Linked DNA regions of Lepisosteus oculatus. The protein of the gene in region 2 purifies or fractionates together with the protein of the main gene of each other region. This does not show direct contact. Links are inferred from orthologs where the notes say so. Each region holds a gene or a part of one and is shown on either strand. Other genes may lie near its edges. The genes, in order: skp2, ccnd1, cdk5 and hdac3.

The links.
Region 1: the proteins of ccnd1 (region 2) and skp2 purify together in Homo sapiens (affinity purification with western blotting; 3 studies listed by BioGRID, with this or other methods). This does not show direct contact. The link is inferred for Lepisosteus oculatus from reciprocal best matches to the Homo sapiens genes CCND1 and SKP2.
Region 3: the proteins of ccnd1 (region 2) and cdk5 purify together in Homo sapiens (co-immunoprecipitation; 4 studies listed by BioGRID and IntAct, counting the BioPlex papers as one, with this or other methods). This does not show direct contact. The link is inferred for Lepisosteus oculatus from reciprocal best matches to the Homo sapiens genes CCND1 and CDK5.
Region 4: the proteins of ccnd1 (region 2) and hdac3 purify together in Homo sapiens (affinity purification with western blotting; 5 studies listed by BioGRID and IntAct, with this or other methods). This does not show direct contact. The link is inferred for Lepisosteus oculatus from reciprocal best matches to the Homo sapiens genes CCND1 and HDAC3.

What each region holds. Positions count from the first base shown.
Region 1 is NC_090698.1:15,353,428-15,360,735, reverse strand, and holds the start of skp2 (S-phase kinase-associated protein 2), read right to left. Parts: upstream 3,020-7,308; 5' UTR 2,908-3,019; coding exon 2,894-2,907; intron 2,464-2,893; exon of another isoform or gene 2,353-2,463; intron 651-2,352; coding exon 415-650; intron 34-414; coding exon 1-33. UniProt on the Homo sapiens protein: Substrate recognition component of a SCF (SKP1-CUL1-F-box protein) E3 ubiquitin-protein ligase complex which mediates the ubiquitination and subsequent proteasomal degradation of target proteins involved in cell cycle progression, signal transduction and transcription.
Region 2 is NC_090716.1:5,510,200-5,517,155, reverse strand, and holds the start of ccnd1 (G1/S-specific cyclin-D1), read right to left. Parts: upstream 3,014-6,956; 5' UTR 2,703-3,013; coding exon 2,505-2,702; intron 1,151-2,504; coding exon 935-1,150; intron 403-934; coding exon 243-402; intron 1-242. UniProt on the Homo sapiens protein: Regulatory component of the cyclin D1-CDK4 (DC) complex that phosphorylates and inhibits members of the retinoblastoma (RB) protein family including RB1 and regulates the cell-cycle during G(1)/S transition.
Region 3 is NC_090701.1:30,515,123-30,522,685, forward strand, and holds the start of cdk5 (cyclin-dependent kinase 5), read left to right. Parts: upstream 1-4,556; 5' UTR 4,557-4,673; coding exon 4,674-4,710; intron 4,711-4,810; exon of another isoform or gene 4,811-4,877; coding exon of another isoform or gene 4,878-4,899; intron 4,900-6,322; coding exon 6,323-6,411; intron 6,412-6,710; coding exon 6,711-6,778; intron 6,779-7,563. Other genes in the region: abcb8 (mitochondrial potassium channel ATP-binding subunit), read left to right, coding at 1-45, 618-701. UniProt on the Homo sapiens protein: Proline-directed serine/threonine-protein kinase essential for neuronal cell cycle arrest and differentiation and may be involved in apoptotic cell death in neuronal diseases by triggering abortive cell cycle re-entry. Interacts with D1 and D3-type G1 cyclins.
Region 4 is NC_090706.1:38,473,162-38,480,593, forward strand, and holds the start of hdac3 (histone deacetylase 3), read right to left. Parts: upstream 3,001-7,432; 5' UTR 2,817-3,000; coding exon 2,762-2,816; intron 1,780-2,761; coding exon 1,697-1,779; intron 1,233-1,696; coding exon 1,090-1,232; intron 333-1,089; coding exon 251-332; intron 1-250. UniProt on the Homo sapiens protein: Histone deacetylase that catalyzes the deacetylation of lysine residues on the N-terminal part of the core histones (H2A, H2B, H3 and H4), and some other non-histone substrates.

The DNA.
Region 1 (7,308 bases), on a different chromosome or scaffold from region 2:
GGAGCTCGTCTGGCAGGCTGTCCCAGGAGAACCCTGTCGGAGCAAAGAAGGGGGGTTAAGCTTGCTGAAGCTGAAAAGCCAGTTCCCAGGTAGCCATTTCGTGCTTGCATTCCAGGTCCCATTCCTCCCACTCCCAGTTGCTAATGACTGACGAGGGAGGGGAGATAACACTACCAAGGTTCCTTCACCAGCCACAGAAGGATCATGCAAAGTAGGATCCATCAAAATGAGTTTTTTTTCTTTTCCTGCTTCCTTTTTGGCGTTTAAGATACCTAGAGACCACAGTGAGGAAAAACTAAAAACAGGCCTGTCATTCTGAGTGGCCTAATTTCTCTCCTCTTCCCTCTCCCACAGACACTACCCCTGACCCTACCTGCCCAGATTCTCTCCCCTTCTCTTTCCCGCTAACCCTACCTGTCTGTTCCTTCTTCCTCCAAGGCCTCCTGGCCAAGACAAACACGGCCTCTTCATTCTCCTTCCCCCGGCATATCCTCTGCTGTTTGCGAGGAGGGGACCAGCTGTGAATGAGGTCCTGAGGGGTGTTCTCATTGTCCATATCCGACTGGACCCCCTTCTTCCCCCCCTGCGATGTGGACAGTGTCCAGTCTGGCAGATTCCCACTCATGGAAGGCAGCTCCTGGAGGTGTCTTCTGCAACATCAACGAGGGAGAAAAACAAGCTAGGAAACTATTTTTTTTAAATCTAAATCGGGATCACACGTTGAAAGAAAAAGCCTTTTGAGGAGTACAATAATGGCATTCCCAAGCACCCAAAGCGATGTCGTCAACAGTGTCGTTCTCTTCCATGCTCTCTTTGAGTGGAAGCAGTCAAACCTCGATCTAGACTCTGGACACGGACATCCCACCCACATTTTCATCTACCATCAGACTAACGAAATCTGTCATCCTCCAGCCAGCCCACAAAATACAGTACACAGAGGACTCACGGCCAGCAGGCTTCTGTGGGTTTTAGGTACTGTTCACTTTTGCGCACTACTGTGCACACTGTGCACAGCAAAAAACTGGAATGAGCTACGGATCCAAAGTTCAAAACAATAAATCGAATGGCAAAATACGCCAACGCACACCAGCACGCAATATTTGCCAACAAACGTACCTACAGAATGTTGTGGCAGAATTCTGAACCTTTGCTCAAATGTATAATGAACATTCACCCACTGGTACAAAGCGTTTTGAGAAAATTCATATTTTAGTCCACTAGCAAGCCTGTTATATTCACTAACAACATCCTATTGCAGCGATCTCCAGCCCTGATCCTGAAGAGCAAAAGTCTACAGTGTTTTTATCCAGCCTTTAAATCATCTGTTACTAAAGGAACCATGATCAGTAAGACGGGTTCAATTAAGAGTTTTTAAGACATCATTTGGAACAATAATCAATATTCTGCAGCCCTCCAGGACCAGTGTTCCCTCTATTTGAACATTACTTGCTTAATTGTTCCAATGCTTAAAGAAGTGGTCCCAATCTTTAAATAACAGACAATTAAGTATGACATATAAGAATAACTAGACTGGGGCTCTTAAGGGCTGGGAATGGAGACCTAACATACCAACTGTTAAAACACACCAAAACCTCCTTCACTACTCATGTAGCTCCACATGACAAAACCAGACCTATCCACAACATGCAGATAAGCCAACATTTCATAGATTTCCACGTACTTGCAGCATTTTCCACTTTCTGATCTAATTCAGCTGACACCTTTCAACCATCCATCCATTTTCGAAACTGTTTTATGCAATACAGGGTCAGCAAGCAACAGGCACTACGCGGGGTACACCATGAAACACACTCAGAATTGTTTTTGCATTGCAACAATAATTGTTCTAATCATTCCTTCTGATTATATAGCGCCTTTCACCCCGCTGGATCCTAAAGCGCTTCACATCCAGGATGTGACCCACTTCCTCCACCACTGAACATGCGGCTACCACCACGTGCCAGCCGCCTCACAACACAGCAAGCCGAGTTCAGAACAGAACTTCAGGTAGATCAAACATTAACTAAAAACCCGGAATGTAATTTAAGTAGAACTAACATCCCTACTCTCACCAGTACTAAGGGATCACAGTCAGGACCTAGGTTTACCGTCTCTTCGGCACTAACTACGAGTCCCTAGTCATTGCATATATGGTAGGACCGATGTTCGCAAATGAAAAATATAGGTACATATAAAAAGGTATTTTTAATTAACATCAGTGACTTATAGTACTGTGTAGCCCGCCCTAATACAAAGCGTCATCGCTTACCCCACATTGCCTTGCTACATATAAAAAATTATTTCCCAAATCCCATGCATAAACAACCATTTATTACACAGATGTCATTTTACCTTGCAACACATCAATTGCGTATTGTGAATTAATTGCATTCTTTCACTTGTCTTTTGTTCGGGCCGACTCACCCTAAGCTGAGAGCGCGCGCTTGCGCGACGACCGTAAAGCAAAGTGCTGCCAAGAGCCGGCGACCCAGTGATGCCGGCAGGAGAAAAAAAAACAGATCCCGTTTTCGATCGACCATCAATGTGTATGCTCCGCTCACTTGAGTGCAATATGAAATCAACTTGAAAAACAGCAGCCGTAACCCCTACTGCGTCGCAAACTTGAATTGGACAGGCATATCGGCAAAGCAGCATGTACTGCAAAACACGTTCGTTTTACTACATCGACGCAGATTTTCTGCATATCATGCAATGATTTACATTCAACCAGTATATATCATATAAGCTTCTAGCCTTGAGCAGTCCTGTTTATTTCCCATGTCTCAGGCAATCATAATCATCACTCATCTCACACCACGTCTACTTTCTTAATAATATGCTGCCCAAAACGAACACGCAAAATCCTTCTAGGGAACCAGGATCTCCCGTTTACCTTTCTTTAGACATGTTCCCTTTGTGTCCGTCAGATTTATCAGAATTCTCAATATTGTTTCCACGCACAAGCAAGCGGGATTAATTTTAAACCTCCCGCTTGGTTGCCCGCCTTCGTGCTTGTAATACTGAGCGCTTTGGGAAAACGAGGAAGGAAGTGACTCGTGATTGGTTGTTTTCGCACGTCTGCACGCTGCGAAAACAAGGTGACGTCTGGCTGCGCATTCTGCGCTCAGTGTTGCACAAACTGTAGCTCACGCCTTCGCGCAATTCGCTGTTTGACTCCCATAGTGAGCCTGAGATGATATAGATATAATTATATCAATAGTGAGCCAATATCAATATAGTGAGCCTGAGATGATATTGGGATAATGATATTATACAGTAGGTTATAGAATATATCTAATGCACTGTGTTATATGCATTATCTAATAAAAGTTATAATTTAATGTTTTTTGACGTCGTCCTTTGTGATAGTTTTTTTTAGATAAACAAATGCACATTTCACTAAGAAACATTTTCTCCGCCGCGTCGGAGAACATGCTTGTTTTTTTTTTAATCGTGGTTAGTTTTCGCTGTCCTGGCGGCTCACTCTGACGTCACACGCAGGATCCCCACAGCCGGCTGCGCTGGCTGCCCGCGCGGCTCTAGATGTGCCTGTGCGCTGCCTCTGTCATCTCACGGTTCGTGTCTGTATTGCATCGTCCGTCTACCTTTTGTATTTTGTAAGAACATATAATGTATTGGTATTTTATGTTGTATTATTTTCCTATATGATTTTTTTAATGTATATTATAACAATCTGTATAAAGCTGCCATTTGTTGTTCATCGCTTTCAGTTGAAATAATAAAGGAAAAATAACTCATTTAATTAATAGTCATATTACACAAGTGTGGTCGAATTAGGACCATAATGGTTTAGGCAAGTTGCATTTCAGTAGTGGATAAAGTGTTTTTTCCTCCCAAATATACATATGAATGGTGTTTATAGAGGCAATGTATTAATAATTTTAATCTAAAACCATATTAAAACTATTGACAAAGTTTGTGTAACTTTAAAGTACACTGGCATATCATGTACAACGATTATTATGAAGAACGCACAAGAAATTGTCTTTAAAACCGGAGGCACTTCTATACAAGAAGGATGGAGAGTGGAACAAGCTACTTCGCCATGCTTTTGAAGCCGATACACATGGCTTCTTTGAAATAAAAATGTCTAAATAAGAACCTCGGATCAATTAAGAACAAGCACTCAAACAGGCCAGAGGGGCAGAATAGCACAGGACCTTTGCTATATGCTGTTGTTTTACACTCCTTGAACCGTAACAGGAAAATACGTATGCCGAATTCTCAGACTGGCGCTCGCAACTGTCGCCGGTCTATGACGTAAAATAGCGACCGTTTTACAATGGATTATAGGAAATGTAGTTTGTCTGCCACTTTCCCTTCGAAATAACACTCAGGGCAGACTACAATGACTCCATCTCCTATAATGCTCTTTCACGTTTGCACAAGGTAGGAAGCGAACAGGATGTGACGTTGATGCTTTATGGTACACGCATATCTGAGAATTGGTGCAATATAGTAATTCTGTCTTATACAAGGGAGTGTTGGGAGCCGGGTTCCGGGAGATTTTTGTTAAGGATACGAGCCATTGGAGGTAAGGGACTGGTTTTTTTCATTAGCGACAGGGTAAATTACTCTGCGGATCATTTGAAAGTAGGTTACCATTAAAAGGTCAAGAAAAATATAAAAAATACCGTTCTTTCGCTGTAGAAGGTAGGTGCCCAATGAATTGTTTTATAACAATTATAACCGTGCCATCGCTTCGGCAGATGCCCAGTAAAATAAGGAGAAATGAGGCGCTTTGTAATGTGCTGATCCTCGCCAGCATTTGTTATGGTAACGCATAGAAACAAGCAGCCGTGTATAAGGGGAACTGAAGTTTCCAGTGTTCGGCTTTTTCACTGTGCTGTTTCTTGCTTGCCCGTTAGTCTGTGCCGGTGTGTAACTCCACGGAGCACAGCTTGTGAAACCGCACGTCTTCTGGTCTGCTTTCAAAGATCTTACTATGACGATTTGTTTTTGAGAGTTGGAGGTTTGAGAATTTTGGTCACTGAGCCGGCAGCGCCGCTAACGGGAAGAGCAGATGACAGCTGCACGAAAGTAAACGGTAGGGTCGGGGGCATTTCGTCAGAAAGACAGCTCCAGGCCGCTGCTGTGAAAGCCTGTGCTGTCAGGTATGACGTGCGCACACGGAGTTCAGAATGGGTGTGTATACGCTGGCTTTTCCCTTTTCTCTTGTTGCTATGTGCTCGTCCTTTCACATTCTTCATTGTTTTTAAACAGCATATACTTTCTGTTGTGCGAGAGTCACAGGATCAACCGGAATCTGACCTTGCCCCGTCTCATGCTTACTGTGAATGGACTCTTCCATACGGGAAGGAGAGACATGCTTAAATGTTGTAAACCCACTTTTTATTCACATTTAGAACACATTGCCTTTCACTAATTGAATTCTATGAAATATTTCATTTATTCGGATGAGCCATTTCGACGGTAAAGGCAATACTCAACAAACCCAGTTCATTTGCTTTACAGCAGCAAAGGTTGATTGGAAATACAGGACATGCTTGATATTTATTCATGCTATACAGTGTCATGTGTGGAAATATTTTTAGTTTGTGAACAAACAGGTGAAAAGTGAAGAGGAGAAATGGGAGAATCATTTGAAGGTGAAGGGAGAAGGATCTTGGAAGCTAACATAATCATGTCCCAGAAGAGAGAGAGCCCTTCTCGGTAAAGGAATGTAGCGATATCAATAGACAGATAATAGAAATTGTGCTGCCTTTTTTTTTTCTGGGAATGAAGTTTAGAAGCCTGTGGTTGTTTCAGATGACTCCTGTCATGTGGCTCGGGCAGTGTCTGAAGGTCTGGGGCTGTGTGGACAGCTGAAAGATAAAGGAGTCTCCAAGTTGTTCACAGCATGTGTCACATGCTCTAAAGAAGAGGTCCCAGGTGGGCGCTGTGTGGAGTAACCTGGAAGCAATCGAAATCTTCCCTTTGGCCATACTTTATGTGTGCTTTTGTCTTCAAATTTCTTAAGTGGAAAGTACCTTAATCTTCTGTTTCGGGGAAAAAGAGAACAGTTAGACTAACAGTCAACGACTGTGCTGGCCTTACAAGCCCATCTGTGTGCTGCTTTTTCACCCGGATTCTCTCGTGTGGCTCATGCTTTACTTCGAAAGTGGGGAAATTGACAATATGTAGTTCAAGGAAGTAGCTGCGTCAGCATGAGTCGGCTGCAAAGGAACACGTGAAGGTTTAAAAGGAACAAGTAAAGGTTTATTCCGTGCTGAAAAGAGAAGAAAGGAAACGCAACGTGTTTTTTTTTCGGGTGTCCTGCGTGGAAATGACGATGTGTGCCAGCAGGGGGCGGATTCTTTCACTCGCCATCGGGGAGAACAGCTGGACCTGCAGTGAAAGAAGTGACGTGAGCAGAAGGCCAGGCGACGTCCCCCATCAGCTGGGATGAGAATAGAGGTTCAGTGGTGAACCTCTACTCCTGTGACCTGTGAACCTGTGACCTGTGAATTGCCATGGAATGGCAGGGAGTGTGATAGTGTCCTTTGGAGAAGGGCGGGAGTACGGGGTGGATTGTGTCCTGTAGCTGTGCCTTTCTCAGCTTCTCGCAAGGACTGCTTGCTTGTTTTCTGTTGGCATAATTTTGTGGGGGTGGGGGTAAGCAGAATGAAATTGTGCAGGTGCCTCACCCACCCCTGCACCACCCTGCCACTGGGCATCGCCACTGGCAACTTCAGCCCAGGGAGGGGTGGAGAGGGCGCCGATGGGACACAGATGACAGCTGTCATCATTTCATCATCAAACCAGTAGCATCACCACTCTATTCCCTCGCCAGTCTTCACTTGAGTAGCTCATTAATCATTTAAGTGATATTCAGCTGCAGCTCTTTCCGCAGAGAGCTGTCTCCAATTTAACCAGCACCAAAACATTAATACATAATAAGTAATGTTATTGTTATTCCTTTATATTTCATGCGTATGTATTTTGCATTATATTGATGTGCTTGTTGTTACGGTTGAAATATCTCATTATTTGTAGTGGCTTCTTTAATAAAATGCTCTCAGATTTATTGTGTGAAAAGGCGGCTTGTGCCATTTTATAAAATGGTTACTTATTTTAAACACTCGCTTAAAAGATTGTTGCCCGTGTGGCCGAATTGGTATCCATAGATATCCAAACTTAGCCAGAAATGTAGATTGGAAATATCTTTTAGAGTGACCATTGTATCCCTTTCTGAGTCTGGGGACACCAAGGATGTTTGGGTCAACATACTGAGCAATTGGACCTCCTTGTATCTTTGCATGTATGTACACAATGTGAGAAGGAGAT
Region 2 (6,956 bases):
AACTAAATCAACGTACAGTACAAAGTGAAAGCTTAATGTAAAATAGACGTCATCTGTGGGTTAACGAATGGGAAATATATTAAAACAAACACTTTTTGCCAATGCTTAAGTTACCCATACCAAAAACATACTGCAATGTATAATATTCCTGCACCACTGCACATGCGGTTTATCACATATGTGGATATTTCACGTTATGACGACATTTCCAGTGTGGATAGCTCACAGTTCCCCGTGCGTACCTGTTGCACAAAGAGCCACAAAAGTCTGCGCGTGTTTGCGAAGAATTTGCTTGGTGTCCATGTGGATGGGCAGTTTGGAAAGGAAATGTTCAATGAAATCATGAGGCGTCACTGAAGCAAGATCCCATTTCAGCTTATTTAACACCAGTAGTTCCATTTGCTGTGGAAAAGAACATAAAATGAAATCAATTTAAAGTAATGGCCTGCGAATTTCCATCAAGAAACGCGTTGTTGTCCAGCACGCATTAGCGTGAGAAGGTTATTCTGGCACTTCACAGCTCTAAATTGGAATACTGTATGCTCAGAGATGTTCGTCACGGGCTTCTTTCTACCGCAAGAGGGAGCTCTTGCCACACGTATTACCAGCGGAAAAGAAATTGGTAAAATTAAGTATCAGAATCTTAAAGTATTCTCATACAGTACTGATTTAAGACAAAATTGATAGTTTATTAATATATGTGAAAATATACCTGCGATTTTTTAAAGAAGACGCTGTATGATATCATAGATATATACGTAATACAACCAATGTCGAACATTTATCACAACTGTAAGTCAGTGACATTAAAAAATCGATAACATTCTGCAAGAATGCATTACAAATGATATGCATTACAGGTTTTAAAAAAGCAGCGTTACTATTTCCTTATTAAATCTCTAAGAGGAAAATAAGTGTGTTGATTTTAAATTACCAATAACTCGCTGGGTCTGATTGAATTGTCGGTGTAAATGCACAATTTCTCTGCAGTTAGCGGAATGGTTTCCTTCATTTTTGAAGCCAAAAACATACACGTAGCTCCCAGTAATTGTAATCTGGTTTTCTTAGTGGGTTCCACCGACAAAAATCTGTCCAGATAATTCATAGCCAAAGGAAACACCTCCTCTTCGCATTTCTGCTCTTCGCAGACCTGAAATCAAATAGAAAATAAAATAAGAAACAACACACAAATGCTTTAAATGCTGTGTGTCTGAATCAATACACTGTTTTAACAAAATCAAAATATGAAAACTTTTGACATTTATATTTGCAAACGGAAAACTGTTGCTTTCTGCAAGCTATCCTATGCCCACTGTATATAATAGCTATATATCAGTTTTATTCTTTTCTAAACTTGTATTAAGTTATACATTTGGCAAAACTAAAACAATTTTATTGAACAGTACGGAAATTATCATTAGTTTTTGTTCCTTTTTTGCAGACGTTTTTTTCCAAGACACAAAGGTGGCGTCCCAAGCGACGTACCCTAAGAATTTTGTAGTTCGTCATCTTTTCAAAAAATATTTAAAAATATTTTAAAATTATTACAGAGCATAAAAATGGCATGGTAATGACCTGCAACGTGTACTTTATCAGTTGGTATCGAGAATTTACGATGTTTAGCGCAAATTATAAGTAAAAAGAACTAAAATTATAGCACATCGCTTTTCTGGAATGAGCATGCGACATTTCGGTATCGTCATGACGCGCAATTTCAAAAATTAATAAAAAATAGAAATAATTGGAAAATGTAAATATTAAAACTATGTAAATGTTGCAAATTTAGTCTTCTTTTCGACTGCTAAATTTTTGGAACGACTTCTAATATAACTACAGGTATTTTTTAACGTAATTTAGCAACAGCCTTTCCAAATACTGCTGCTGAAGCATGGTTGTATAGCTCTGTAAAAACTTTTAACAAAGAAACGTACCCTTTTAATATTCAAATCACCATTAAATTATACGAATAGCTTAAGTAACTGTATTTTGTTATATTCATGACATTTTCTTCAATCATCTGATTATTATAGAAATTTTAATATATTAAATACTTTACCGCACGAGAACAAAGATGGCGCATATTACTGGCACGAGTTGCACTGCATACGTGTACATTGATATTAATTTAAAATAAATTAAAATAAAATAATTTAGAAAGCTCCTAGGGTTAAAGAATAAACGAAAGTTTAATACCACAATACCCGTGTTGTACTACAAATAAAAGTATTGATAAAATCACCTCCGTATGTGAAAGAAGCCAGAAAAAAAGAAAAAATAAAAAAACATTGCAACGAAGTGGTGAACAAATAGCACAACGATATACAAAACAATTATGCAGACATACAATAGTAGGTGGAGGAAAAACGTGAACTGGATTAAATTTCTATTTTATATAATTCCTCATTTGCAGTGCATTTGATTAGGTCCAAAGGGCAGAGCGAAAAGTCAGGACAGAAAGCTTGCAGAATATAAACATACAGATTTATTTCTTTTTTCACACAAACCTCAAGCATCCATGTGGCAACAATTTTCCTCATATAAGGCACAATTTCTTTCTGAACACATTTGAAGTAGTTTGCAGAAGGAAGATAGTTCTCTTCAGCTTTTAGCATTGTCTGTAGCACTCTGTCATTAAGGAGGTTGACATCTTGGTAAGCTCTCCTGATGGTCTCTACTTCACAACACAGCAGCTGGTGTTCCATGTCTCTGCACTTTTTTAAGCTTTGGACTTTCGAAGGATTCAGACGGAGCGCTGAGCAAGTTTCTTGGATGCTGTTTCGCTGTTGCTGTTGCTGCTGCTGCTGCTGCTCAAGCCCTCTGGCGGCTCCAAAACTTCGCAGTCCTCAACAGAACTCCCCTTTAGTTCTGTACTAAGCAATGACGTTACTGTTGTTAAGGAAAGATCAAAGCCACTCCGAGCATGAGAGAGAAAGAGGCCTCAGAGAGGAGAGTAAGTCTTAAAGAGCTATCCCATATAAGTTCGTAGTCCTTCCCATCGCTGAGCTTTGCTTAGGTATGGAAATGGGGAGGTCCTTTTTCATGGTGGCGGCGCTGAGAGTGTATTGCAGGGGGGTCCAGAGGAGGGAGGCGGGGGTACATCGGATTGGGGTAGCTGTGTGTGAGGAGGGGGGGGATGGATAATAGACACATTCACGAAATTGTCCTTCAGGAGAATTTTTTTATTTTCATTACAGTCCCCCATACCACTTTCATTTCCTTTTTTTATAGAACACAAAACACAGGCAAATACGAGAAACAGGGGAGGTGTAAATCTACAGCTGTGTGCACTATTATTATCTTAAAACGTGTATTCTGCACTATTATAATTGTAGTGCAGATAAAACTATTTTGTATATTTAGTATACAAAAACAAATACTGAGGCATATTTAGATGGCTAGCCGTTGAATGTTGCCTTTATTCTAAAAATGAATGACTCTTGCTTTCTTTGTACCACGTTCTTCAACCATTTTCCGTATATTTGAGACAATGCAAACTAAACCACTATTAACAAAGTAATAACTTTTTTAACTGTTTAACTATATCTCTTATACATGGGCCTATTAATATACAGTTGGCAGATGGATTTAATCCTGTATTTCCTTTGGTCACGACGGAGTAATGGCTCAGGAATATGTCTTTTTAAAGCGGCATGTACTGTCTTTATAAAAAGTGCAGATCTATCTCCTTTCTGCGTGTGGCAATATTGGATAAACGAACTCGCCAACTTGAAAAAACTTGGCAGTAATTTCGGAGGAACATCCCCAACTCCCTCCTTTCACAATGGGAGGACACTGAAATTAGCTTAAACCAATGGGGGAGTGTTCTGTTACCAGGCAGAAACTGAAGCAGGAACTCCAGTGTTTCTTGTGGTGCAGTTGTTAGGGAAGGTTTAAAAACTTTCACACATTATCAAAAGTGGAAAGTTTCCGGTGGCGATGTCAAATGTAAACGTGTACTTATGTTATCGGCTCGTAACTACCCGTTTGTATAAATTTGGCACAGATGCTATTGTACTGTTTTTAGGCAATGCAACATTTTAAAGCATTTAAGTGCGTTTTTAAAGACATAGCCTTACACTGGTTAGAGAATTAATCTAGGCAAAATTATTTTTACTTGTAGACCCGAAGCCACGTGGTCTCAATGAAAAACATGTTACATATTCTCTACATTTGAAGATATATTTTAGTCGTAAGTGCCATTGTGTTTTGCAAAGGAATATCTCAGGTGATGTTTGAGTTACTTGCATTGCCCCATTTAAGATGAGTAGAAATTAGTTTAATATTGCCTTGTCGCATGTAAGGTATGTAAGGTAACGTTTGCCACGCACAATTTACACAGATGTAATACAATATTACCATTTCTTAAATACAAAATACTACCACAAAACATATTTAAATTGATAATTATCTATACATATCTACAATAAATTAAAATAATAACCTAAATACCTGCATAAATTGCATTATTTGCTCAAATGTGGTCTGTAATGCAGTACGAGTCTTAAAAGTATTTGCAACAAAAAATGAACTCTTCAATCACATGCACGTAAAATGCTGTGATAATCCAATCGTTTTTAAATTGGTATAACTCTAGATTACTGCAATGAAACACGACTGATTTCAGATGTACCATAAAAGATCCTTCTGAAGACCAGGACTTCTGGATGGCCCAGTGAAACTTAGAAAAACTAAAAAGGTCCTGCGAGTATTAATTCCTTCATGTATCTCGAAAGCAGAAAATTACTTTGTAATTTTTATAAAACCTTAAAGTATCTCTTGAATACTAAAATACAGTATTGTGAGTGCATCTGCTTACAAAGGAATAATAAATATATGCAGATTACGTAGGTATCTTTAAATATTGCACGCTGTCACTTTAAAGTAGCCCACTGTCGCTTGAACATAAATGAAGTCTACATTCCTGGCATTCCAATCTGTACCCATGTTAACAAGCCCACATGGGTTTCCTTTTGCCGTAAAATATGTAAAATACACGCATTTTAAAAGTTGACAACATCTAAGAAGGAAATGCATCTACAGTGAGTAATTACAGTTTTTGGAATGTTCCAATATTTGAAATTATTTAAACGTTTATTTGAAAATCTGATAATTTGATTATAGATTGTATTTGTGGAGAATGCATAAAAAGCAAACAATATATTTCTTTGATTCCGAAAATAGTTTTGCAGTTCAAAATGGTAATTAAGATAAATTATGGAGCACAATATGAAGGGTTGCATCCAGGTTTTGAGTATTTCGTTTATTTTTTAACATCAGGCAGCAAATGCACAATTAAAACAAACTGCAAACAATACTGTCACAAGGTAAGAGTCCACAAGATGTTTGAGGTTACAAGGCAGATGTATTTTGAAAATGTTTTTTCAAGCTGATTTTAAAAAATACTACAGATTACGCTTTGAAACCACTTTTCAAGTTAATTATTTTGTAAAATATTTCTCATTCTATCTTCATTGTAAGTTTACTAACTTATTTATCAGAAAACGCACATGCTCATTTTCTTTTATAAAACATTCTATTTTATTCACTACGGTAAATGGACAGGAAATAAAACCGAAGTTGGGAAGTATTTAAAGGTGCAGTGCATTCAAAGCGCACTTTGATCACCCTGGGAAGGCTAAATCATGGGATAATGAGAGTTTATAATGTAGTCCTCACAGTCTCCTAGTCTCACTAACACAGTACTATGAAACTTATGAAAAGTTTTATTTGAATAACTCAGTACACAATTCAATCAATGTAATACAATATGGAAAGCTGGAAAACATTAAAAGTCCTCATTCCAAACGTGCATTTTAGTAATGGAAATTAAACCTAAACTCTTCTTAACGTGTCCTATAAAAATATTTATATTTTGTATTATACTATACAGTCATTGAAGAAGGTAGAGGAATGGCTTAACCAATCAAATTTTGTTAAAAGTCGCCACAAGTTGTGATAATTTACATTCTAAAGTTTAAAAATAGTACTAAACCATATGCTGTATTTTAATAATCCAAAAATGTGAATTTATTTATATTTTAAAAGATGTACTTATGTAATTGAGATCACATACTCATGTATGAAAGTACAAGCCAACTAGTGTGTGTTAGCACCGTGGGAGCATGTGTAATTTATTAATGTTTGAGTGCAAAGTTACCAGGTAAAGATTTGTTTTTTATAAAAAATTCCTCTTCAAACAATTATTACATGGTTTTGGATTTGGAGGCATCCTCTCAAGATTTGTTTTTAGTTTTAGTTTAAAAGATTTTGCGAGAATGGTTTTGTTGAAGGTTAACTCTGTTCACAGTTTGTCACATGCTTTTCTTTCATAGCGAAACTGAAGGCAAACCACAATGCTTTTGAATGCTAAACTAGTGAGCTTTTGTAAATGTACGATTTATTTTTCTATTTTAAATGCAATGTATGCTACATTCTGTATATGTTTAATATTCTAATTACAATGAAAAGCCCAAGTTACATTTTATTGCCACACATATTTCAGATGTTTCACTGTGCATTTTGTGGTTACCAATACAATTATCTAAGGTGGGAAATTCATGTAATTATATTATACCTGTGTGTTTTTCATTCCATAAAAAGGTGCATGTTGATCTATCCTCAGGGACAAAAGAAGTGAAAGTAAAAATCTCATGTAAGTTGCTGGAAATTCAAGGTGTTTTTTGATGGTAATTTTGTTTGGAGATGTTGGAGAATGGTAAGATACATCACATTTCCTGTTGGCATACAGCTAATTGTTTAAAATAAATTCCTTGTAGTATCCCTCAGTGGTATATTAGAAGGGAAAAAAACTGGAAGGTTCATTTTATCTTTCCAGACTTGGTCAACAAATTCAAGTACAATCTAGAATTTGATGATTATTAAATGTCCTATATAACCTTAAAGTGGTTATACGCTTAGAAATAATATTATATAAAGGTTACTGTATATTACTATGT
Region 3 (7,563 bases), on a different chromosome or scaffold from region 2:
GGAGCCGATCTCATCTGTGTGTTGAGCAACGGGAGCGTCACGGAGGTAAGAGGGGCAGAAAGTTTCTCAGTAGAGGTTAACAAAGAATAAAACTGAATTGCACTGTTCTTTTTAGCTGTAGACCTGGGGGATCAGTGAAGACTGTGTAATTCGGGATACAGGAGATACCGTATTGAAAAAATGAGTACTTGTTCCCAAAAAACTGTGTTCATGGACAAGATAACATATCTTAACTAAAGGATTTGTTAAACATCAGGGTTTTTACAGAATAGAAAGACAAAACTAATTACTAATTTCAGGGACATGATTAATTTGTGATTCTAATATCAAATATTGTCTTAAATCTGACAAGCTCATACTTCTAGAACTGAGAGGATCTGTAATATTCTCTAAAAACTGAAATAAATGTTCTCTTAAAACAAGATTGTACTGATAGGCGTAAATCCAAGAATGGCTGTTGGATTCATTTAATTAATTAGAAGAGAATTAGTTTAAACCTTAACTGCTTTAATAACCACTTTCAGTCCAACTTTAGACTGAACATTGTGTGGTTTGCTTAATGTCTTCATCTTGCAACACTGAAAAAGAGATGTTGTTCTTTTTTTGTCTTTCCTAAGGCTGGTACACATTCTGAACTTCTGAAGAAAGGTGGACTGTACGCAGATCTGACTCAAAGACAGAGGACAGAGGGAAAGAAATGAATCTAAAGTAGCATAGTCTACAGAAGATTTTAATCAACAGTTGATCTTTGTCTTTGCCTTCTAAATCAATTTCTTTTCAGATCGATTTCACTTACTGACAGTTCATATCCTACAATCTTGTAAGAAATTATTGACCATGATGGGAAAAATCAGAGCAGTAAAATGTCTACCTGCTTTGAGAATGTTTGTCCAAAAATGCATTTTTCTTTTGGTTTTGAAATATCATTGGAAATGTTTGAAGATCTAGTTTAATGTAATCATGAAGTTAAAAAGTTTGTACAATACTGATTATAATTTTTGAACTATAAAAGAAGGTATATCCCTTAAAAGCAGACAGCGATGAAAACACTACAGGAGTTTGTCAGCAGTAATTTATGAAAACCATTGAACAGGAAGAATTATTGCTTGAGTTTTGCTTTATTTTTTTGGATAATTAAACTTGACAACTTTTTCAACCCTAAGAAGTTAGGTGTTGAGTAATTTTGGAAAAGTATAAAATGATTTCTCTGTTTCCTCTTTGACTTTGTATTACATTTACAGGACCATCGTGTTTAAAATACAGTAATGATATCTTGAAGGACGGGAAAGTATTCTACCTTAAGGAGTTAGAATTAGCATCTACGTCCACTTAATAGACCAATGACATAGTGTGTGTACAGGACCTTGCAAAAGTATTCAGACCCTTCTTGTGGTGTCCCATTTTGTGAAATAAAAATGGATGTACAGTATACACATTTTTTAAGCTCTAATTTTTTAAAAATCAGTGCTGATACAGCAGATGTTTAGGGTTAAGATAAGCTACTGTAAATGTCAGCAAAAACTAAAACAAATAAATCTTAAACATATTGATTGCCTAAGTATTCAGCCCCATGAATTCAATATTTGGTGGTAGCACCTTTGGCAGCAATTCTTTTGCAATTGCAATTGTTTCAATTATCCTGCTGAAAGATGACCTGTTATCCAATAACTTGTTTAAGTCTTTAGTAGATTAAGGCAGGTTTTCTTCTAAGATTTGCTTGTGTTTTGTTCCATCTATTTTTTTCTTCACTCATCACTGCTCATTTTGTTCTATCTAAGCTATTGAGCTGTGCAGTTCTTTCAAAGTTGCCATTAACCTCGTGGTAGCATCCCTTGCTCATCTACTCAGTATGAAGATACAACCTGATCTCAGAAGTTCTCTGGGTGATACAAGGTGCCTTCCATTTCTTGATGATTGAGAGACTTTGGATGAGACCTTAAACTTAGATCCTGATAATCATTATTGTTGTTGTTGTTGTTATTATTATTACATTAATAATAATAGCTCACACTTATATAGCACTTTTCTGGACACTCCACTCAAAGAGCTTTACAGGTAATGGGGTCCCCTCTACACCATCACCAATGTGTAGCCCCACCTGGATGATGTAACAGCAGCCATAGCAGCCACACATCAACTATTAGTGGGGAGGAGAACAGAATGATGAAGCCAGTTCATAGATGGGGATTATTAGGAGGCCATGATTGGTAAAGGCCAAATGGGAAATTTGGCCAGGACACCAGGGTAACACCCCTACTCTTTTCAAGAGACGCCCTGGGATTTTTAATGATCACAGAAAGCCAGGACCTTGGTTTTACATCTTATCCAAAAGACAGTGCCTTTTTACAGTATAGTGTCCCTCTCAATATACTGGGGCATTAGGACCCACACAGACTGCAGAGCAAGCACCCCCTGCTGGACCACTAACACCTCTTCCATCAGCAACCTTAGTTTTTCCAGGAGGTCTCCCATCCAGGGACTGACCGGGCTCACACCTGCTTAGTTTCAATGGGCTGCCAGTTGTGAGTTGCAGGGTAATATAGCTGCTGGCCATTAAACGATCCTGTGGCAATCATGGTAGGATCAGGGTGTTAACTCATGAGCCCCAGCTCAGTTCTACTCTAGGCTTACCCAATACAGCCTACCACAACTCTTGATTCAATTAGTAGAGCTATTTTTCAGTTTTCCTCTTGATATGTTGGGTGGCAGTGCTACTGGAATTTAACAGATGTGGACTTCACACAGGTGGGTGCTGTTGCTCTGGTGGTTAAGGTGGATCCTTTAAAGTGAAAAGGGCTATATAAATGCAGTTTAATAATTATATGTTTTATTTTACTCTGTTGTGTCTATACTATTTTATTCCAAATGTTAGAGTTACAATCAGATGTGTATTTTAATATAGTGCAGTTTTCAAATTTTAATCTGAGAAAAAGCATTCCATTTTCTTCTTCTAAGTATAGGTGGTGTGAATATAGACTTTTGGTAATGCAAGTACATACTTGTATTAGATTATGAGTTTACAGAAGTCTGTTTAGTACCTCAATTAAAATACACGTGCTATAGTACTATATTATTATTAACTATAGTATTATAGTTGTCTAATCTTGATTAAATAAAGACTTGTATAAATCATTTAGTATTGGACAGGCAGCGAAAGTGTTTTAACAGCAGTGTTACATGGTTGGAAGAAGGATTATACTTCTGCTATTGTTGAGTGGAAAAAATGAGTGCGGGGCCAACAGGTATCAAGGACAAAGTTGACTTTAATTTTGCAGAGAATGGCCAATTGATGCATTATCTATCCTTGGTCTCTGAGCTTCCTTACATTGAGCAAAGGTCCTTTCAGCATACGCGCTCGTTATTTACCACACACTCCTTAATTACTGTACCACACAGTTCAAAGGCGCCATCATTGTGACACTTCCACCTCCCTTAAGAAGGAATCCTGAGCCCTTTCTAGGAGAGATTGTTTAGTCCCAGTTAGGAGAACTCAGAAAACAGTTCAAGATGGAAAAATTGAGGAGGACACAGGTTGCAGCCGTGGACCTAGGAGAGGATGTGGACACCAGGGAGTCTCTAGCGAGCAGCAGAGGAAGGCTTCTGTGTTGTCTACTCCTCTCCCCCACCCAAAACTGGACATAGACAAATCAGGGCAAAGGGGAACATGAGAGACCACAATGTTCAGGATGGTTGGAGTTGAAGAGGACGCCAAAGACCATCGAAGGATTACAAAGACGTTCTTCGCTGTAGTGGAAGGAGGCACTCCCAGTCACCGACTTAAGCTGGTTTTGGAGAACAGTGATCCTGGACAGATCCATCTTTTTTGGGTCCATCTTGTTCATATGGTCTATGAGTGTGTGTCCCTTGGATATTCTGAGTCATGGGCTGTGTGAGATGGATAGCTTGATAGGCTGTAATAAATTGGGATATAATGTAGGATTACTTATGTACACTGGGGTCGATGAACTGGTTCTAGGTTGAAAAAGACAGTGTTGTGGGGGATAAGGGTCTTAGCACCCATAAAACTTGGAGGAGTCACCAACTGTCAGTGTTACTGAAATGTTTCAAATAACACGAGAAACAAAAGAAACACCAATGTTTCTGAAGTACATCAAAGGGGTTTATTTCAGTACCATCAATTAATTTATCAACTTTGTTAATATTGGAAACCTACAAATGTATTCATTTTATTCCAAGAAAGATCTGTTGCATCAGTATCTGAATATTAGACGAGCATTTGTAAAGTGCAGAAACCATGGTATTTGTTTCGGAGTCTGTTGCAAGTAAAAAGGAGTGATCATCACAGTAGCGGATGGGAAATCATTGCTTCGTTGCTTGTAGAGAACCAGGGTTGTACCAACAAGATGCAGTTTTAACTTCCATTAACTGTTCTATGTGACAATGAAATTCCAAAGAATTTAATAAGATTTAGCAAAAAAAAAAATGTATGTACACGGAAAATGTACTGTATGAACAACACCTTTGCCAGTCCGTCACATTCGCTGTCGCTTGTAGTTCAGGGTGGTGACAGATTTTGTAGTCATGCAATTCATTTTTCTGCCAATAGATGTCTCAGTTTGTTGTAGTCTTACATTCAAAATTTATTGCAAAACCTCCCTTGAAATTAATCCTGGGAGAAAACAAAACATACATATATATAATTTGAACAGAAAATGCAGAAATATGAGAAACTTGAGAAGATTGGAGAAGGTAAGAGACAATGCACATTTGTTAGATCAGATATATGTAGTTGTGCGTTTTTATTGTTTTGTGTGCGATGAAACCCTGTTAATTCTTCTTGTAGTCAGTTTATTTAAATCTCCGTACGACTGTGGCCTACGCTGCCATCAGAAGCCCCGGGCCTCGCGTAAAAGCTAATGCGGAGTTTGGGCAAAGCAGGTTGGTTACAGGCAATTCTTTCTGATGGTCATTTTCGTGATTCAAAGGTCGTCGGTTCTTATTTATCGACGGGAATGAATGAAACTATTCTTAGCTTTTTGTTTAAAATTTATAATGACATTTCATCTCACTCTGAATCGGTAAGATAACATTTTTCGTTTGTTTGATCCGCTGTTTTGTGGGCTGTCAATTCAGCTTTAGATTATTTCCATTTAAAATTATCTGTAGAATCTTTTTATATATATAGAAATATAGCTAATCCGCTCCTTTTTAGCATTATATTAATGATTTTTTAAAACCTGTCCTGTGGTAAAAGATGGTAAATTATTAGCGCTTTATTTATTTGTAATTAGCCTGAACCGCATTATAGCAGATGTCTTTATTATCTTAGTTAGTATAAATGTAAAATAATATCCTAGTAGTTCTATTATTTTAAACCTTTTTCCTGAGGCCCAAGCGTAGTTGGACTTAGAGTGTAACTGATGATAACAAAACGCATTTCTAATATAAAAAGATGATTAAATCGGTATAGAAGCAAGCAATGTTGTTTTTCAAACTGTTTTAAATGTTGAGTGCTTTTAATTGCCACTATTTCATCTGCTAAAATCTCGTCTAATGTTTGTTGAACAATATGTATATACTGCATCTATAATCATAATGAATTGTTCTGCTCGTCTAAAGCTATTAAACTAAAAATTCCCACACATGAAATGTTTCCATGGGAACCGATATACTTCGGGATGTGTTAGTAACCTGGGAAAGTTATTGATATAATACTATTAGGGGGGACAGTTATCAAACAAGATATATCTGCTTACTGACTTGTCTCTTCCGAAACAAATAACACTTCAGAATTCGTAGTTTTACTGTAGTTTTGGCATGAAGAAAACCTACAAATGGGCACGGACAGTTATCCTGTACATACAAACGTAAGAAACTGGAAACTTTATCTCGGTCTCTCGGTCGTATATTCTTAAAGGAATACGCGATAAAAGAGAACGCCTGTGTATCCTTTTTAGTGTTCTGCCTCCGATGAAAACAAATCATCATTCTCCATAGCTTCGGGTATTGCAGCTGCCTATTTGTAACAGCAATCTCACGTGGCAATTAAACACAGCTGGTTTCACTGCATGCTTGTTTTATTTTGATCTCCTTCCTTACATGGTAAGGCTACCATCATGTTTTTCATTGCAATAAAAGTTTTCCCGTTATATAAATACTAAATTAACCAGATATTTGTTTTGAAGAAGCAAATACAGTTATGTATTCTGCCTTCAAGATATAATCATTATTAATAAACATAGTTCCCTGTCTCATTTGGAAGTCATTGTAAGATTACTTCCCAATTGATACTTCTACCCTTTGTTTCCAATTTTTCTAAAAGCAACTATTTCTTCTTTGTCTTTTATTTATATTCATACAGGTACATATGGAACAGTCTTTAAAGCCAAAAACAGAGAAACTCATGAGATTGTAGCTCTGAAAAGAGTACGGTTAGACGACGACGATGAGGTATGAACTGGTTATTTTCTTTTCTAGTGCATACCAAGTGAGGTACTGAAAATTATCATGTGTTTTCTCTCTGGTAAATTTCATGATAGATTCACAACAGATTATTTGTTACATTCAGGTGCTATTAAGAGTTTAGACAAAAGCATAAAATTTGCTGTGTGATGCAGTTACAATTAATTTAATAATAGAATTACAAAACTCAGAATGCAGTTTGAAACTTTATCCATAGTGACTTAAATTTACCATGTTTATACATATTATGCCTCTTATGTATTAGTATTATGTCTCTAATTTTTCAGGGTGTTCCAAGTTCAGCATTGCGAGAAATTTGCTTGTTGAAAGAACTAAAACATAAAAATATAGTTAGGTAAGTGGTTTTTGATTTCTTCAGTTATTAACTGGCATGAAACAGACTTGTTTAATGGTGTTGTGTTGAATCATGTTTGTATCTGAAGCTTGATATTGGAATGTAAATTATGTGGTGCTCCTGCAGGTTTGTTTGTTTCTAGGTAACAAGAACTTATCATTTTGTGATTCTTATAACATTTAAATTGTTGTTTGTCTGACATTCAAATTCTGAATGTATAGAAGTTGTAATCATACTGTAACTTAACATGTAGCTCCTCTCAGATTCTGAGGTGAGCAACACTCATTGAACTACAATTAAGAATGCCTTTCTTAATTTAGCAGGCCCAGATTGGCCGATATATATGTTTTTGTGACCCAATGCTTCTGATCTCTAGTTTGAATACCTCTTACAAGTCAGGGGACTAGCTGTGGGACCTGGGTTTGTAATGTAATAGATGTTATAGGGTAACTGCAGTATATTTTTCTATCTAAAGTATATTCACTTGCAATTTAATGATAACACTCTTAGCCTTTCCCTGATTTAAAAACACATATATATACTAAAACACAGTGGCTGTTCAACCGCTCTACCTGCAAAATATGCAAGTACTAAAATTATAGATAGAAACTACAGTTCTTGTAGAACTTCACTAGAAAAATGTTGTTGTTTAAAGGGGAAAGTGAAGTAATTGTAATACTGTATGTGGGATAATATGAAGAATAAACCATTCAAACAATACCACAAACTCTATTTTAAAAGAATTGGGTTTCAATTCAACAACTGCACAAAACATAATGTAAATC
Region 4 (7,432 bases), on a different chromosome or scaffold from region 2:
AAAGAGACCCCTATCTCTGAAATGCGAACAATGCAGCCCATTTAACAAGGAAAATGGAGTGAACGACAGCCTGACTTGCACAATGGTCCTGGAAAGAGCTCGCGCTTTGAAACAAGTACTCAGTTGGGAGCAAATCCAGATGAGATGCACGTTCTCTCGTCGAAACCACCACAGCACCGAGCGGACCTGCATGCTCCTCTCCTGGCTGGGTGCACAGCTAACAAGAGCATTTTGCCTGGGCAGACAGTACCTTGTGGTTTAACTGCGTTGCTCCCTGCAGAGAGGCTCCCGTGTAGCGTGAGCAGAACTCAAACAGGCCAGGAAACACAGGACTGGGCAACGACAGGAGACAAGAGCATTAACTCACACATAACGGAGTACTGAGAATGACTCCACCACTCACCATCGTGATTATAACCATCGCAAGCAACTATTCTGCACCAGCAGCCCCAGGACATAGCAGGCCTCTTCTTCTCACAACGATGTCTTCTTTTTAAAATGTCTATAGGCTTGCTCCCATGTGAAGAAGCAAAACCAGATTGTAAGCCACGCGTGTTCAACTGAAAGAAACGTTCTGGACCAGAAGGCAGTTTTCTGTAGCTCAAGAACGAGGCTGTGAAACATGAGACACCAAGCTATAACCTATAGCCAAGTACAGACAAAAGCCCAATCAAGCAGGCAGATCCATTCAGGACAGCCTCTTCTTTCCACAGAGATGTCTTCTTTTTAAATGTCATCGTATTTCTATAGGCTATAGGCAGGACACACCCTGGTCGGGACACTAGTCCACCTCTGGTTAGACAGACTCAGAGACACACTCACACAGGGGGGTCAACTTTCCCAGAAGCCAATGTACTTCCCACTATGTTTCTGGACTGCGGGAGGAAACTGTACACATGTGCACACCGGGGGAACATGCAAACTCCACACAGACAGCGCACCAGATTCAGAATTGAACCCAGAGCCCCAGCTCTGCGAGTCACCAACTCTAACCATTGCGCCCACCGTGCTGCCTGCAGGCTTGCTAGCATATTTTCGTATTTGAAAAGACAAATATGTCCAAAGACAGAATAACACCCCTGTACTCACCAGTCATCCCCAACGTTGAAGGTGTTGAGACTTTTGGTGAAGCCCTGCATGTTGTTGGGACTGACCTTTTGCAGGAAGTCGATGTAATCTTCCGAGTGAAAGCGGCACATGTCATGTTGGGAGGCTTTGTATGGCTTGAACACCTGAGACAGACAAAGACTTCAAGGGCACTGTATACTGTACAAAGAGTACAAACACAGCCGGTGTGCAATGGTACCAAGGGGTCTGGATGCACATATATCCAACCAAGGGTTGTATATACAGATCATTACCTGTAAATACTCTGGATTTAAAAAAAGGCCCAACAATGCAAATACATATACATATTTATATAGATTCTTCTTTGAACATTAGCAGTTGCGGGCCCCTGACCTACACTGCCCTCCACATCTGCGCAGGCAACATCTACATTTCTACTCCAACTCCGTGTCAAACTCTGCCTCATGTGCAAACACTTCTGTAACTCCACACATTTTTTAGATCGTGTGGGCCAAAAACGCCTAAGGCATAAATTCATAACACACAAAATCATTAAAACCCCTTTCTTCAAATGAGATGAAACTCCTCACTGCCAAAATTAATCTTCACTTTGGGGAAAAAAACATACCATCATCTTCTTGTAGAGCCCATAGTGCAGAACAAGACTGTGGGTGAGAGAGAGTCGATGGGGTTTCATTGGGTGTCCAGCACCTTAAAAAGGGCACAACCAAAATGAAAGAATTATTCATTGGTATTGTAGAGTAAGTCAAACCAGAAGCGTAAACGTACAGAGGGTGGGAGAATGTGATGCGTTTGTCAATGAGAGAAAACTGCACATCGCCTGTCCTGGGAGACAACAATGTCCTTGGGTTTTCCTGTCCTGGATTCAGTGTTATTCCCAAGGCAAGATGTTGGTTCCAGGTGCCCTTGTTTTCTCCTACAGCTCAATCTCGGGCTTACACATTAACTGGCATTTCTACGATTTCCCCTGAGATGGACTGGAAATCCCTCATCAGTTCACCATGAAGCAATACTGCACTGAGCAGCTACTGTACATAAATGAACAAATTAGCGGTTTAAGCGGGATAAAAATGAAAGGGTTTGTCATCTTGTCAAAATTGATTATTAAAACCTTTCTTATTCAGCCTGTCGGGCCCAATACATACCTAAATAAGGATGTCAAAAGTAAAAGCAACACAACAATATATCCCTCGGTAATTTCTACCACAAGCTCTGCAGCCTTGTGACGGCACGAAAAGCTATCTTTCTTTAATTTGCCGGTTTTGATTTTTGTTTTTTGTTTGCTATGCGGAGGTACTGAAATACAAATCGACGATCCGGCCGTCCGGATGTTAAAATGAAAACGAGGCGCCTGTGCACTTCAGAACCGCACATGTCAATATGAAAGGAGCAGACATATTCTAAAATGAAAATGGGCACTGGAAATAATATTTACTGAAGGAGAGGAGCTGTCTGAGTGGGTTTGAACTTCATAAAGGCTTCTGCAACTACAGCTGTAAATTAGTATAATCACCTGCAAAGTTCAGAAGGGAGATATCGATCATCACTCGTATAAAAGTTCAGGACCGCTGATAAATTATTTCACGTAGTAAGTAAGACGGTGGAAAGCTGGGGCTAAGATCGGAAATTTAATGCAAACGATAAAATAACAGTAGCCACAAGCCCATCTTACCGTAATGAAAGTTCCCCACGTCTGGGTCGTAAAAATACGCCGTCCTGTTCGTCATCACAGCGGAAAACGAACAGAGAGTGTCGTCCAGACAGCAGTGAAGGCAGTCCTTCTTTTTTGTACTTAATTTTCAAGCAGGATTTCTAATTCACTCTAATTCAGCTTTCTTTTTAATTTACCAAATCGCCGCCATAGTAAAACACGGGAGACCTGTGCGGGACGTCATCAGAAACAGCAGATGGTGTACTACGTCACGAATATGCGTACGTATGTTTATGTGACGTAGACGTCGAAAGTGGCGGGGTCTCGTATTAAGGAACTTTCATTTCTATTCATGTTTAAAATTGCGATTAAGCGTTTAAACATCTTTGCCTCGATTACCGAATATAGAATAAAAATAATTTCTGATATCGGAAATATTTCAAATCGTATTCTTATCGGTATTTTATTTTTTTCATGAGAAATTCCGTTTTTATCGTTGCGCGTCAATATGTCAATATTTGATATATCAAATATTGATATCCGCGTGTTAAAACATATTGAAATCAAAATCTGGATATCAAAAAGCACAGGTGATGATTAGTTCATATAGAAACACCATACCCAAATATGTTCACACGGCAGATCTGAAGAAAGTTATAATCGCACCAATCTACTATAAGAAATCGATTTTTTTACATCGATAAACGAGTATTACATTTTATAACGACGTGTAATGTGAAATGAGTATAAATTCATATGAATCTTCAATCATATCTGACCATACTATCTTCTACATTTGTTCCCCACCCCCACGACCCTTGGTGCAAAGACATGCCTCCCGTGTCACGGTTTTAGCTGCTTTGCCACGTAGTTTTTACTCGTGTCCCCCGATTCGTGTTTCACTGTTCATTGTGAAGAAATGTTTTGGTTTACTTTTTCCAGCGCCTTTCACGATTTCGAGTGTCGGGTCCTCCTGTATTCCTGTATGTTTCAGAATGTGTTGTTCAAGTCTCTCTATAATATTATACTATATATGCTAACAAATTCTGTAACAAGACTTCGCTTACTGGTTGTATTTACATAACTTTTAAAGAACCAGGCAGCCCATCACTTCCTTGAATCGGACAAAGTTTAAATTCCGACTTTAAAAACGCACAGCTTAAAAAAGACACAGGTCCTGCGTCCCCCCTGTTCGAAGTCATTCTGAGGATAATAACTGTTAGGGGAGTCCCGTGAAGAATTTTGTTTTGCTCCTTACAATCTAGAACATGTTATCTCGGTGTAGTGGGGTCTAAAATAAGCGAAACCACCCAGATTTCACATAGCTGCAGCTACAGTAATATTACCAATTCAGTCTTGCACAGCAACTACAGTGCTGATAATAAACAACACAGCTGCCACCCTGAGAATGACAGAGATACTATCCTCTATCCTTTATGGTAAGGGGTTTTAAACTTCCAGGGGTGAATGAAACTGCCTTCTCTATTGATATATTTCTATGCTGTTACAATGTTTTCAAGTCGTTTTAAAGCTCTCCCTTATAGAGCTGGTCTGTGTATCGTCTAGTCAGGGCGAAAGTGCCACTACGTTTCCCATCGGGCGTATGACATTTAAACGAGTATTGTGTGTATTTATTGTGTGTGTGTGTGTATTTATGAGCAAGCAAAATATTTATGGAAAAATGAAAATGAAATGGTGAAAGGGAAAGAAACTGTCTTCAGGTGTCAAAATATGTATGGTTCATTCCTTAACCCTAAAAAAAAAAAACTACTTTTTAGACCACGCTGGATGTACACTTTTTGTGTAAGAGTGAGTCCCCCCCTTTTCATATAACGAAGCAAAAAAAAACATTAACTTGAAATGCTATCTTTTTCTTTACATGAATAAACTCTTTTAAACACGGAGCAATACCGATGTAGTCGATACATTCCAAAAAGGGCAGTTTTTCGTTTCAGAAGGAGACTGATCTCACAGTGCACGCTGAGGTTCATTTACAGTGAAACGGTAAAGCGAGACCAAAGCACAATATATGATGATAGATACGACCGGTGATGAAATCGTTTCTGAAGTGAGGGGGTTTGCATATCACAGAAATTGAAAGAGGGGCAGCTGGCCGCGTGTCTCCTTCCGCACGCAGCACTCCCATCCAAAGCTTTGAGGTTTTTTCCCTTTAAATAACTTGCAGGAGATTCTCTCCCTCCCTCGGTGCGCCTTCAGAGCAGCGCTCGTCCGGATCTCGGGAGCACCGCGCCGCTGGATGGTCCCGCACAGGAGCAGCGCCGTCCAGTTGTAAGCACCCGGTAAGCGCAGGTTCCTCCTCTCTTAATCTGCCGTTAGGACGAAAGGGGCGACTAGGGGGCTTCACTGAACAGCAGCCACTTGATCGGCGAGGCCAGCGGGCGTGCGGGGAAGGTGGGCGGATGAGAGAGCTGGGTGCCTTGGCTAGTGTTTGTGATGCGGGGCTGCAGGAGCAGGGAGAGACGGCTGTGTTCGTGAAGCAGAGGGCTCGTCTTGCAGTTCCGTCTCATCTCATCTTCGGGGCAGCAAACGACCATTAAGCATACTGTACTGCCTTTCCTATGACGTTCTTACGCCCCTCAGACTGAGATTTTTTTTAAAAAATATATATATATTTATAGGATTGTTTATTTTGAGTGGGAATGGAGAATGCTATTAATATTGAATTATACCCCCCCCACACACACGCAAACCATCCCACACTTCGCAGAGATAAAAAGAAACATGTTGAAACGGGCTTATTGGTGAGACATTGTGCCCGTATTTGTGACTGTCTTGCCACGGTATTAGACGGCTTTCAGCAGCGCCCTACTGATGCAGCCCACGGTGTCCCCGGAGTCTGACTCCAAGCCCAAGGGCAGGTGTGTCACCGGCCGCGCTGGGCCCACCAGATCATTATCAGGGATCAGAAACTTGGAAAAGATGCAGGCTGCAGCCTGCATCTCCCTAGACCCGCGCACGGTGTTGTTTTTCCTTCTCTTCCCACCCCTGGAGTCTCTCTCTCTCTTTTTTTTTTGTCATGGCGACGCGAGGTATTGGAAAGCAGTTAAGTGACAGGAAAACCTTTTTCTTTTTAAATAAAAAGACCTTGAACACCGTTTTCGTGTGACATCAGGGCGCGGAAATTAGGAGCGTGTCAGTGTGTGTGTGTGTGGTGGTGGGGGGCGGTGTATGTGAAACATTTAACAAACAAGGGTGGTTTTAGTGCAGAAGGGAGAAAGTTAACCCTTTCGATTTAATCTTCATTGAAAAGCAACGAAGCTAGATTCTCCGCAATTCGTGACGCCCGTAGCAAACAAATCATGAATTTGTACATAAAGATTTACGGTAATATTGTTTAAAATTAAACTGCCTGTTAATTTTATTATTATTAATAATAATAATAAATGACACATTGTAGCATTTATTATTTTCCAGTTGCATAACTCACAATGCAACTCTAGAATGAAGTTATTTCTCGCATTAGGGATTGATGGAATTTTTCCACAGCTGGCCACTGTGGTTGTCATGTGGATACTGTATTAAATCAAGGAACCAGACAAATTCTCATTTCCCAAGAATCCCTGACCGCTAACAGTCCTCACATGAGAAAAAGTACAGAGCAGACGGGATGCTGACCCCAGTCCATTCAGGCATTTTCAATTGGTGCCTGTGTGTCGTTTTTTTTAAATAATGATTTCAACTTTGCGTCTTAATGTTCACTAGGAGTGGAGGGTGTGGTTACAGTTGACTCCGGTTTGTACCTGCTTAGCCGCCTCCGTCTACTCTAAAGCATTCAGGATGTGATTTGAGAATACATTCTTCCTTACCCGTTTTGTTTGTGATTTGGTATACGACCATCATCAGTACGCTAAACGCGCCGAAAATATGTTTTACAAGGGCCGTGGGTTCATTTGGAAAATAATGCTGTTGTGCTCCAGGTACAGTACAGTACAGGCGGTTAGCCACGCCAGGCAATATAACACTTAAAACCCAAGGTCACCATTACTGGCACAACAACACATGCAAGTGTGCTTTATCGAAAGCCTGCGAAGATGTTTACAGGAGAAGCAATCTAATGCATCTGTATCTTTTGCACGGGCAGGGAGCTGCTGTAACTTTGCTTGGTTACAGTGTTTACTGTTACAGAGTTCTACTTCTCCAGCTGTATAGAATCTTACATGAGGACGAGGCACAGTCACAGGGAGCTCAAATGCTTACCATTTACCCTACAGTTGCTTAGACACCTCTGCACATTATGAAGCATTAATGAGCAGACTTCAGTGTTTCACAGCAACAGTAATTATGGTCGAGCCAGGACAGACAAGGGCAAACAGTGCTACCCCGAGGCCAGGCTGTGAAAGCTGAGCCCTGAAGGACAGACGCAGCTAAATCAGTTCATTAGAGATAAGAAGAACTGCTGTACATGCTGGGCAGTACTTAGCAAGACTTCATAATTAGCTCACTTACTGCTGGATATTTTATATTTTCAAATACAGGTGTAAAAAACAGTTTTCTGTTTTTAACCTTGGCTATAGAGGATGATGTTGCAATCTAACCTCTTGCTGTGGCAGTAATAATATCATCGTGATCACCCTCATCATCGACATCATGAACGCGTTTATTCCAGACAACGTCAGGGGCACACTGTTTCTGTTTTGGGACGAAATGTGTTGAACATGCAATCATTTCAGA